Nothobranchius furzeri: one gene and its partners. Each later gene encodes a partner of the first gene's protein in a complex. Links are inferred from orthologs where the notes say so. Each region holds a gene or a part of one and is shown in the gene's direction. Other genes may lie near its edges.

Region 1 (3,622 bases):
GTGTGGTTCTGGCTCTGATGGGAGTTCTGGGGCTGACTGTTTTCTGTTCCTTTAGTTGGAGATCTGTGGATGTTTTCTGTTTGCCCATAACTGAAGAGGAGGACGAGCGCGAGGTGGGTCCACTTCCTGTTTTGTTCTGGTTCCTTTGAACTGATGTAGTTTGATTGAAGGTGGGAAAAAAAGAAATGAATGGTAATGTTGGTGTAAATATGTAGCTGTGAGTGAACAGGGACACCTGGTGGTCAAAATTATGATTCATAGGAAGAAAGAGCTGCATGAACATCTGGATCTGCTGTTAGTTTGGATGGTGGCAAGTCCAGAAGTGGTTTACATTTTTTATGTTTTTATCTCGGTGTGAAACAAAATGATGACGATGAACTGTTGGATTGTTGTGATCCTGCAGGTGGAGGACCTCTCAGATGCAGCCTTCATCCAGCTTCATCAGCCCTACGAGGACCAGGAGCGGTCCCGCTGGACCTGGATGGCTCTGGCTCCTGCTAAGAGGAGGGGCAGCAGGTGAGTCCTGGTCCAGATCACCGTTCCTGCTATGTCCTTCTGCAGGTCTGACCCTTCACTGTCTTTCAGGTCCTATAAATCGGTGGATGGACGGACCACACCGCTCCTGTATGGGACGAACCCTCCCACCCCACAGCCCGCGTCCCCAGACCCAGGTCACTGCCCCAGTCTCCATGACTACAGCCATGTGCCATCACCCATGAGTCCAGCCAGCCCTGATGCGTCCTCCAACCCCCACACACCCTGCTCCAGGGACTCGCACCGACTGCTGTCCAACGAGGACACACGCTGCTCGACGCCTGACTTCACCTTTGAGGAACGGGTGTGTGGCACCACCTATATCAGAACCAGTTGTTTTCTAGAAACTCCGCCTATAGCTAAGCTTTATCATTTAAAATACACAGTGTGTGATTGATATGGGGAGCCTGTCTCCTCCCTGTCGTGGGTCCCCAGAAGAACGATAAAATGAATGCAAGTCAACGGGGCTAAAAAAGCTGTTTTCTAATCCGCTTTGCCTTACGCCCTGGATCGCTTATATGTTATACTTTGTTTTAAATGCATAGTAATGTGTGTTTCGACCACGCCTGTCAGGGACTTTTATGTATAAGCTTGTTAAAGTTTGTAATTAGCATGACTAAAAATCAGACATCGGCACGTCACATTAATGACGTCTCCACAGAATCCTCTCTCCCCTAACGTAGCTGCTAGGTGGCCAGATTTATGGTGGTTCTTTCCTCCTGACAGAAAGACTTGAAGGTTGCTGAACTTCCCATTTTCCTGTTTTTCTGTGTCATGTGTGATGATGTCACTTTTGTGAAGCGCATTCACACAAAACCTAAAATGGCAATTTCCCCCGTTCCAAAATAAACACGTTCTCTGTATTAAAATGTGTCTTTAGAATTCACGGACATCGTATTTGACACCCATAGTACATAACAAGCAAGAATAGAAAATAATGTTTTTAGCCCTACTGACTTGCATTCATGTTTTAGTTGTTCCGGGGAAATAGATGGGCACGACCTACGCCTGGACACGAAAATGCACCACAAAGGAATGAAGAGCGCTTCTATTTTGCGCCCTTGTTAATCTACTTTCTCGCTCACGTCAGCCGCAAAGCACGCCGTCCAGAGATCGTCATGGCGTGTGCTCATTTGTTTGCGACTAAGTCGAAACCAAAACAGGAGGCAGGCCAGTAAATTCTAACAAAATGGACATTTTTCAAAGTAAATACTGATAAGTGACAATTTTTGCGTATCTAAATATTTGAGAGATGAAAATGAACACACAAACACACACTCCTGCAGAGAAACATGGCGTTTCTATAATTTTAATGCAGTTTTTACAGCAAAAAGATGTAATAAATGTGAACACAAACAAATACGTTTCATACAAAGCATTGTACACAACCACAAACACTAGTTATTTACTTAATAATTTAGAAACAGCAGCAGGATCAGCTCAGTTTTTGATATCAACAAGTGGGGTCAACTGGTTACACACACACACACACACACACACACACACACACAGCAAGGGCACAGGGGTGGGGGTGTTTAAAAAAAACCGTAGGCGTGAGCAAAAGGGCTCATCAAAAATTCTCGCCTGATGTGAAAAGAGGAGCAGCGGGCAGTGTGCGAACTTTGAGTGACGTGGCGCTTTGCAGCTGATGTGATCTGGCATGAGGCTCCCTATTAGGAATGATTGTGAAATATGGAATCATTAATGTTTCAGTGTCAATTTAGGCTTTTAACACTTTTTTTTTCTCCCCACCTTATTTTAAACCTTGTGATACGGACATATTTGTGTCTTTAATAAAGTGAACTACTACCACCACCATTTCTACTAATACCACACACACACACACACACACACACACACACACACACACAACTTCTAACAGGTCTGAAATCCATAATTTCAAACTACAAATGTTTAGAAACAGGAAGAGGCTTCATCTGAGATTAGAATCATGTGTTCTGGGTCTGTTTGGATGATCAGAACCTGACCCTGCAGCACTAGACCAGTCCTGATGGGTCCTCAACCCAAACCTGTGGTTCGATCTAACTCTCACCATCTAAACCTTCCATGTCATCCCAATAAACGCTAGATATCCGAACTGGAGGATCCTTCTAAACATGCCTCCTTCTAAAATGTCTTATTGTTGCACGATTTCAGACGGTGGCACCATGGGAGCGTCGCAGCTTCCCTCTTCAAGAAGACCCGGCTCCCGAGCCCGAAACCGACCACATCAGGCCCAGAATGCGCACCATCTCCGGTTGCCGAGCAACAGCCTATGCACGTCTGGACTCGGACGACCCTGAGCTGGCCTGCGACGACGACAGTGTCTCCAAGTTCCGGGCCTCCGCCCACCGATGAGTGATGGACAGGCGGGCCTCGGCTCGGCCCCTCTCTGGCATTAACAAGCAGAACCTCAACGCTGACAAGGATGTTAAATGGGTTCCTGTTGTTTGATATTCAAACATCAGTCTAAACTTTTCACAGTTTTTAGTGAACATTATGGAGATAGAAGCCTTTCCCCACACTTGTTTTTGTCACAAAACAAGATAAATGTTAAAAAAAACGGACTATAAAACAACACATTGCAGGAAGTGATCGTGTAGTAGAGGCTAAACAATGTACATGGGGCTTAGTGGTGTTTCAGCGTCGCGTGTACACTTGTAGCGCACTATGTAGCCGACTCCTCCAAACGTGGCCAAAGGGTGTTTTCTATTGACTAGTCTGCTTGTAAATCCCCATGTACATTTTTAGTGGAGTGACAAAAAACAAAACATGAAAAAAAAAAATCTCCCTTTCCCTCTCCACCAGATGAGCAGGTACATTTGAGATGTTGTTCCTCCTCCTCCCTCTAGAGGTCGCCTGAAATCACCAGAGCACTTCTTCTACTGCCAAGTGTAGTTTTGCTGGTTTGCTTTGTTTGTTTTCTCATTCCCGACACGTTTTGTTAATCCTGTTCTGTCTGCTCAGTAATACATATTTTGTGTTGTAAATCATTCCTGTTGTCTCTGGAGTTCCTGTTTGACCCCCAGGTTGGCACCATACAGGCCAGGAGCAGTGTTTGGGGTTTATTTAGAAGCACTTGCCTGGC
Region 2 (3,500 bases), on another chromosome or scaffold:
CCAGACCTTTAACTCCAACATCTTTTTTTTTTCCCCCATGTTTGTTCTCCAGAGTGACATTCTGTGCAGAACATTCCCATAAGAACGCCATGGCTTTGCAAGCTCAGATGAGAAAGTCCTCTGCTGGTCCATCTCCAGAGGCTTTGTTATCCCAGCTTAGCTGCTCTAACCGTGCAGAGGCATACAGTTTAGAGGGAGGACGCGCTGAAGCCAGCCGCATTCTCGGTAACAGGTCTTGATTTAACCTGGAAAGACACAAGTAAAAGCGCTTACTCTTTAGTCCAATGAATCATCATATTGCATGTTTTAATATATTATCTCTGTTTTAAACCCCACCTTCTCTGTTTTGACAGATGTAGAAAGTCTGAGTGAAGAGGAGCAGGGACCCCTGGTTCTTGACCAGACGTGGAGAGGAGATCCAGACAGCGAGGCAGACAGCGTTGACAGTGATCATGAAGATCCACTAAAGTAAGATGAAAATCTCACCCTACAGCAATCTGAATTCACATTTTTATTCTACTGATTGGATTTCTTTGTAAATAGACCCATTGCTTATTTTCTTTTGTTATGAGGTAGGATGCTAAACATGTAAAAATTTCTCCAAGTAAAGAAAGAAAGAAAACAATCTTTTATAAAGAGCCTCTCGAGATAAAAATTACAAGGTGCTACACAAAAAGAAAAAATTTAATTATAAAAAAGATTTTTAAAATGTGATTAAATAATATGTTTAAAATGAGAAAAAAAAATTGTGATTAAAAAATGTAAGGAAAGGGGGGAAATCAGTGGATCCCGGGAAATGTGGAATAGGTTGAGCAGAAAAAGGACAGGGTGATGATGAGTTGCAGTAATCTAAGCGTGAGGTGAAGTAAATTTTATAATGAAAACACTGACAAACTTGTCTATCCAGACAAACAAAAATGTTCAAGAACTGGAGATTTATTATTTAAGTAAAACGGCAACAAAAGAAGCGTTAAAAAGATCTTCAGCTCGGACACCAGTCACTCAGTCTGTGGAAGCTTCCAGTAGCCTGGCCTGCCAGACTCGTCCTCTGTTTATTTAATTCTGCACAGAGAAAGAGTCTGATAACTCACAGGCAGAGACGCACATGAGGGGCGGGACTAGGCAGCTCAAAAATAACCAGTCAGATAAAGACGGAAATGCTGACTGTACCACGCGCCGCTGCAGTTTATTTAGCTGTAGTAAAAAAGGCGTCTGGTGAGAGCGCAAACATCAGTTTTTTTTATTTAGAAGAAAGGCTTTTAGCGCTTCAACTACTTCTATCTACCAGTCATTTAGAACAGAGGAAAGAGCCGCAGCGAACTCCGCTTCAGTCGCCATGTTTATAACAAACTCGGCATTGTGGTGTGTGACGTACGCTACTCAGCGCCGATTGGCTCGGTTAGAATTCTCAGGGGGTGGGGTTATTTGAATAGGAGAGTTCCCAGACCCTTTCTCTGTGCAGAATTAAACAGAGGAGGAGTCTGGCAGGCCAGGCTAAGCTTTCAGATCAGTTGTGTCTGAAGTCTGCATTTTTCTACAGGAAATATCATGATTTTGTTCATTCTTATTCTGGTTTTCTTGTATATTTGCAGACATGCAGGAGTTTACACAGCAGAGGAAGTGGCCTTGATCACTCGAGAAAAGCTCATTAGGCTCCAGTCCCTCTACATCGATCAGTTCAAACGCCTGCAGCATTTGCTCAAGGAGAAAAAGCGCACATATCTTCATAATCGGAAAGTGGAGCACGAGACTTTAGGTAAACTTACGGTACTTTGTAATTAAATGTGTTCGAAGTGGTTTGTCATTGTTGCTGTTTGATTCATTTATGTTTGACAGGAAGTAGCCTCCTGACAGGACCAGAAGGTTTGTCCTTGAAGGAGAGGGAAAACCTTAAAAAGCTCAAAGCTCTCCGTCGATATCGTCGTCGGTACGGCATAGAAGCCCTTCTTCATCGACAGCTCAGGGAGAGGAGGCAGGCTTTGACAGAAGGAGCTCCTCAGGTGGGAACACGGTTACAGAGCAGCTAAGTTAAAGTGTGCCATAAACACACAAGCTCCCCATCTCTTCTGTTCTGTATGCAGTCAACCAATTTCTCCCTTTATCCTCTGAATCTTGAGTTTTCATCCGTGAGTTTGTGGTGCTCTGCTTAATACTGAAGAACCCCTATTATTTCAGTTTAATAGGTAGGGGGCAGGATTATGAGTAGGGCTGAAAATAATCAATAAAATGGTTTAATTAATTAAATTCCTTGAATTATTGTTTACTGATTCGTTAAATGGTGAAGTGGAGACATGCACATGCTGGGAAGATCTGATAAAATTATCCTGAAGTTCCGATAGTGGAAACCCTCCTAATGTGCCATGAAATGTTAATAGTCCTGTCCCTCACTCAGAGGCTGCTTTAGCTAGGATGAGTAACTCGGCCATTTTTGAATGCTGCCATGAGTCATTTTTAGGAAAACCAAAGCATTGTTTTAAATGATCTAGTGTGACTGTTGAGTCAAATGTTTACAACCTCTTCTGTTGCAGATTCATGCAAAAACAGTAAATGAAAAATGCGTCTCTTTTGTGGAGGGAACCAGATGTACCAACACCTGCCTGCCCTTGGCTCGACACTGTCTCTCACGTATCCTTAACCATTAGTTTTACTATGAGAACTTTGTCTGTTTCTGGTTCTGTTCTCTGAACCCTGGCCCTGATCTAAAGCAGCAGCTTGCAGTAGCTGTTCGTTTTTAAAGGAGCCTAAATGAACTCCTTCCTGTGGTCTGTTGATTTGTTGCCCCAAACTGTAAAAGGGACGAATCATTTCAGTTGGAAGGAACAACATACTTTCCTAAGCCTCTTTTGTCTAACCCCTGAATCGTCCAGTGAGTCAAACTTTTCTACAAATAGAGTGGAACATATGGAAGTGGAATTTTGTAATGTGATAGTCACTGATAAAATGCTGTTGTGATTTATTCCAGCTGGAAAAGTGTGTAGTGTCATCATGGGTACATGAATGAGCTCACTGATCAGAATGTTACATCTATAGCAGCCAATGTTTCATAATTAAAGTTAGTTACAAGTTTCTCAACAAAAGGCTATTACCCAGGTTAGTTCATGCATCTGCACTAACCTTATGTTTTCTGAGCCTAAAACATCCATCTTTTTCTCTCCTTGAGTTAAACTTGTGTCTGAGGCGTTTTCCCTGACAGCCTGACTGTCAGACATCTACCAGGACAGCAGTCAGGTGCTTTTTAAGATCTGTCCAGGAATTAAAGATGTTCCGTGTGATCGTGTTGTCCACATGGGTCAGTCTGACAATCCTCGCTGTCCACTCCACCTCACTCTGCCTCCACTCATGTACCAGCCCGAGCAGGAGCCCCCCCAGCAGGAGCACTTCACACCTGCAGGCAAAGACATGTACCTGAGTGCAGCAGAGCTGCAGCCCACAGAGAACCTTCCCCTGGAGTTCAGTGATGTATGTTAAAACTGTCTTACACACACACACACACACACACA
Region 3 (2,902 bases), on another chromosome or scaffold:
TGTAGTGACGACCCGCTCCCAGTATGGTCTCCCAGAGGACTCCATTGTCTACTGCAACTTCAACCAGCTGTACAAGATTGACCCTCCTACCCTCCAGATGTGGGCCAACGTATGTCAAACAGATGGTGTTCTACAGGGCTGAACGATCTATTGTTTTTGGACTGAAATTGCGATTTCAAACAGTACGATCACATGACCGTCAAAGCTGCGGTTTTAGCGGTTTTGACTGATCCAGGATCAGTTGTGTAACTTTTTTTTACATCTGGGGTTTTCCCCTGTGTTATGGCGGCGGCAAAGGCCAGCGCGGGGGAGGGGGGAGCCCAGCTCCACAGCTGACAGAGCTGCATGTTCAGGTTATTTTCCTGTTTTATGTTTCCACACACAGCGCTGCTAGAGCCCATAATAATGGCGAGCCCGGGACGAGAGAGAACGCAGTTGAGTAAGGGAGAGAAAGACTCCTCCCACATCAGCAGGTTCAGGCTGACTTCTAAAGCTTGGTTTATGCTTCATCAGCGCGAGCGCGGAGTCGCGCACTGTAGTTGACTTAAAAGTTCAACTTCTCTTTTAAAAATGGTTTGAATGTTTCTGACAGCACACGTTAGTTCAAACAAGCTAAGGTGTCAGAATGCGTGCGTCTCTCACGGAACAAACGTTTTAGTGAGGAAAAACTATCAGACGGCTTCAAAAACGTGCAGCCAGCCTGCCTCGGTAATGCAGGGAAAACTGCAATTTTTGTTATTTAATACATTTAAAAGCTATTTCTACCTGCAGATTTCCTCCATGCATTTTTGGAGTAGAACTGTTTTAATAAAGCTCCTCTAGATAAAAATCACAAGCACAAACACAATAGAAAATAAACAAAAAGATAAGAATGGGACAAAATATAAGTAGCTTTAACTTTTTTTATTGTATGATTAAACAGTAAATATTAATGGGAATGAGTTGTTTACTAGATTAGAATCTAGACCATCTTTTCACTTAATCTACAGGATGCCCTGGCAGGCTAATTTTGGGACTTTGTTTGCAGAAAATCGTGAATTGAACCGAAATCGCAATTTCTGCTAGAATAATTGCAATTCAATCTTTTTCTAAAATCGTTCAGCCCTACTGTTCTGAGTGGTCCATATTCAGCTGGGAGCAAAACTTAATTCCATAAGCTTGTGTTTAGTCTATTTTCATCCTGTTGCTGCAGATCCTGAAGCGTGTGCCCAACAGTGTGTTGTGGCTTCTTCGCTTCCCTGCTGTTGGCGAGCCCAACATCCAGCAGTATGCTCAGAACATGGGCCTGCCTGCCTCTCGCATCATTTTCTCTCCTGTGGCGCCTAAGGAGGAGCATGTGAGGAGAGGCCAGCTGGCTGATGTGTGCCTGGACACCCCTCTGTGCAATGGTCACACTACAGGCATGGATGTCCTTTGGGCTGGAACTCCCATGGTAACCATGCCAGGTGAGGAAGGTGGGAATTAAGAAAAACCATCTCTTGGCTTCCTGAACTTACTCAAGTGTTTAACAACTTCAGAGCAAACGTTTAGAGTGCATTTTCACAAATCTTGTTTATTAAATCTGCATTAACCTTCCTGTAGGTGAGACTCTTGCCTCCCGCGTGGCTGCCTCACAACTCGGCTGTCTGGGCTGCCCTGAGCTGATTGCCCAAAGTCGCCAGGAATATGAAGACATAGCAGTCAAGCTGGGCTCCGACATGGAGTAGTAAGAAAATAATTGTCAAATCATTTAATTCTCTTTTCTGAAGGAACTTTGGCTCAAATAGGTTTTCCTCCCACAGCCTTAAGATGATCAGAGCACGCGTTTGGAAGCAGCGGATCTGCAGCCCCTTGTTCAACACTAAACAGTACACAATGGACCTGGAGAAGCTCTACCTGCAAATGTGGGAGCACCACAGCAACGGCAACAAGCCAGACCACTTGGTAAAACTCCATACGGTCGAGACCAGTGAGAATGCCTGAACTGGAAACCTTCTCCACCAAGTCCCAACTGTTTTTAACCATCATCGACAGCATCATTTGGTCGGGTTTCACTCCAGTTCTTCGTCCTTTATTGACTGTCTTATTTACAAACGGACTCCTTCCTGCACGGAGCCTACACATGTTCACATTTGAACTCATCGCATTATTAAGCCACACACGTGCATATCCTAAGCCAGATTGGGGCTGAATTGTTCAGGCTCCTCGTCTGAGACTTTTGTCCAAAAACACTTAATATGTATTTTGTGAGCATGAGAAGGTAGTGAATACCCCACGAACCCTTCAACTCTTGGATCAGAGGATTTTTCTTCTTCTCCTGTCGGTGTGTGTACAGGACTGATTGCAGCTTGCAGAGAAAATACCCAACTGTCTTCACTTGATCTGTTTAGAAATTAAAAGTGTCATGTGTTTTAAAATGACAATGTTGCACCATTGAAATAGTACGTTTTGTCAGCTTTAACCTAAATTATGGAACAGATGGCCTCAGTTCTTTAGTTGAAGCTGTTTTTAAATGGCTGCAACAAGTAAATGTGCAAGTTTTAAGGAAGTGACGTCTTCCTTCGCACAATGCCAATTAGAATTATTTTGTCTGTTAAGGAATGTCTTTAGTTGTTCTTGTTGGGCTGTCTATGAATTGGACGCTTGTTTATTTTTTTAAAGACCCAAGTTGCAGTTAAAATACCATCTGTTCATAACTTGATTTTGTTTTTTTAACACAAACCAGGGAATGGAATAGGTAAGTATTTTCTAAAGCATTTTTGTTTTATATTGTTTAACTGTATGCTGTCAGTGAAGCTGCAATTCTCTGAATATAATAAAAAAGATACAAAAAAAGTCTTGATTACATCTGTACTCTGTTAAAGAGCACGGAAAAAATTAACTGAAACCCCCCTTTTATTTACCTGCAACAACTTTTATTTAT

Evidence for each region. Proteins that work in one complex are often made in the same cells at the same time.
Region 2: KAT8 regulatory NSL complex subunit 1 (region 1) and kansl2 share a complex: the UniProt entries of both Homo sapiens proteins name them as parts of the NSL complex. The link is inferred for Nothobranchius furzeri from reciprocal best matches to the Homo sapiens genes KANSL1 and KANSL2.
Region 3: KAT8 regulatory NSL complex subunit 1 (region 1) and ogt.1 share a complex: the UniProt entries of both Homo sapiens proteins name them as parts of the NSL complex. The link is inferred for Nothobranchius furzeri from reciprocal best matches to the Homo sapiens genes KANSL1 and OGT.

Annotation. Positions count from the first base shown.
Region 1 is NC_091756.1:53,928,245-53,931,866, reverse strand, and holds the end of KAT8 regulatory NSL complex subunit 1, read left to right. Parts: intron 1-55; coding exon 56-113; intron 114-403; coding exon 404-516; intron 517-585; coding exon 586-838; intron 839-2,691; coding exon 2,692-2,892; 3' UTR 2,893-3,122; downstream 3,123-3,622. UniProt on the Homo sapiens protein: Non-catalytic component of the NSL histone acetyltransferase complex, a multiprotein complex that mediates histone H4 acetylation at 'Lys-5'- and 'Lys-8' (H4K5ac and H4K8ac) at transcription start sites and promotes transcription initiation.
Region 2 is NC_091755.1:57,561,627-57,565,126, reverse strand, and holds part of kansl2 (KAT8 regulatory NSL complex subunit 2), read left to right. Parts: intron 1-52; coding exon 53-225; intron 226-353; coding exon 354-468; intron 469-1,592; coding exon 1,593-1,756; intron 1,757-1,836; coding exon 1,837-2,000; intron 2,001-2,528; coding exon 2,529-2,625; intron 2,626-2,688; exon of another isoform or gene 2,689-2,825; intron 2,826-3,205; coding exon 3,206-3,459; intron 3,460-3,500. UniProt on the Homo sapiens protein: Non-catalytic component of the NSL histone acetyltransferase complex, a multiprotein complex that mediates histone H4 acetylation at 'Lys-5'- and 'Lys-8' (H4K5ac and H4K8ac) at transcription start sites and promotes transcription initiation.
Region 3 is NC_091741.1:100,483,413-100,486,314, forward strand, and holds the end of ogt.1 (UDP-N-acetylglucosamine--peptide N-acetylglucosaminyltransferase 110 kDa subunit), read left to right. Parts: coding exon 1-109; intron 110-1,192; coding exon 1,193-1,454; intron 1,455-1,581; coding exon 1,582-1,705; intron 1,706-1,781; coding exon 1,782-1,962; 3' UTR 1,963-2,402; downstream 2,403-2,902. UniProt on the Homo sapiens protein: Catalyzes the transfer of a single N-acetylglucosamine from UDP-GlcNAc to a serine or threonine residue in cytoplasmic and nuclear proteins resulting in their modification with a beta-linked N-acetylglucosamine (O-GlcNAc).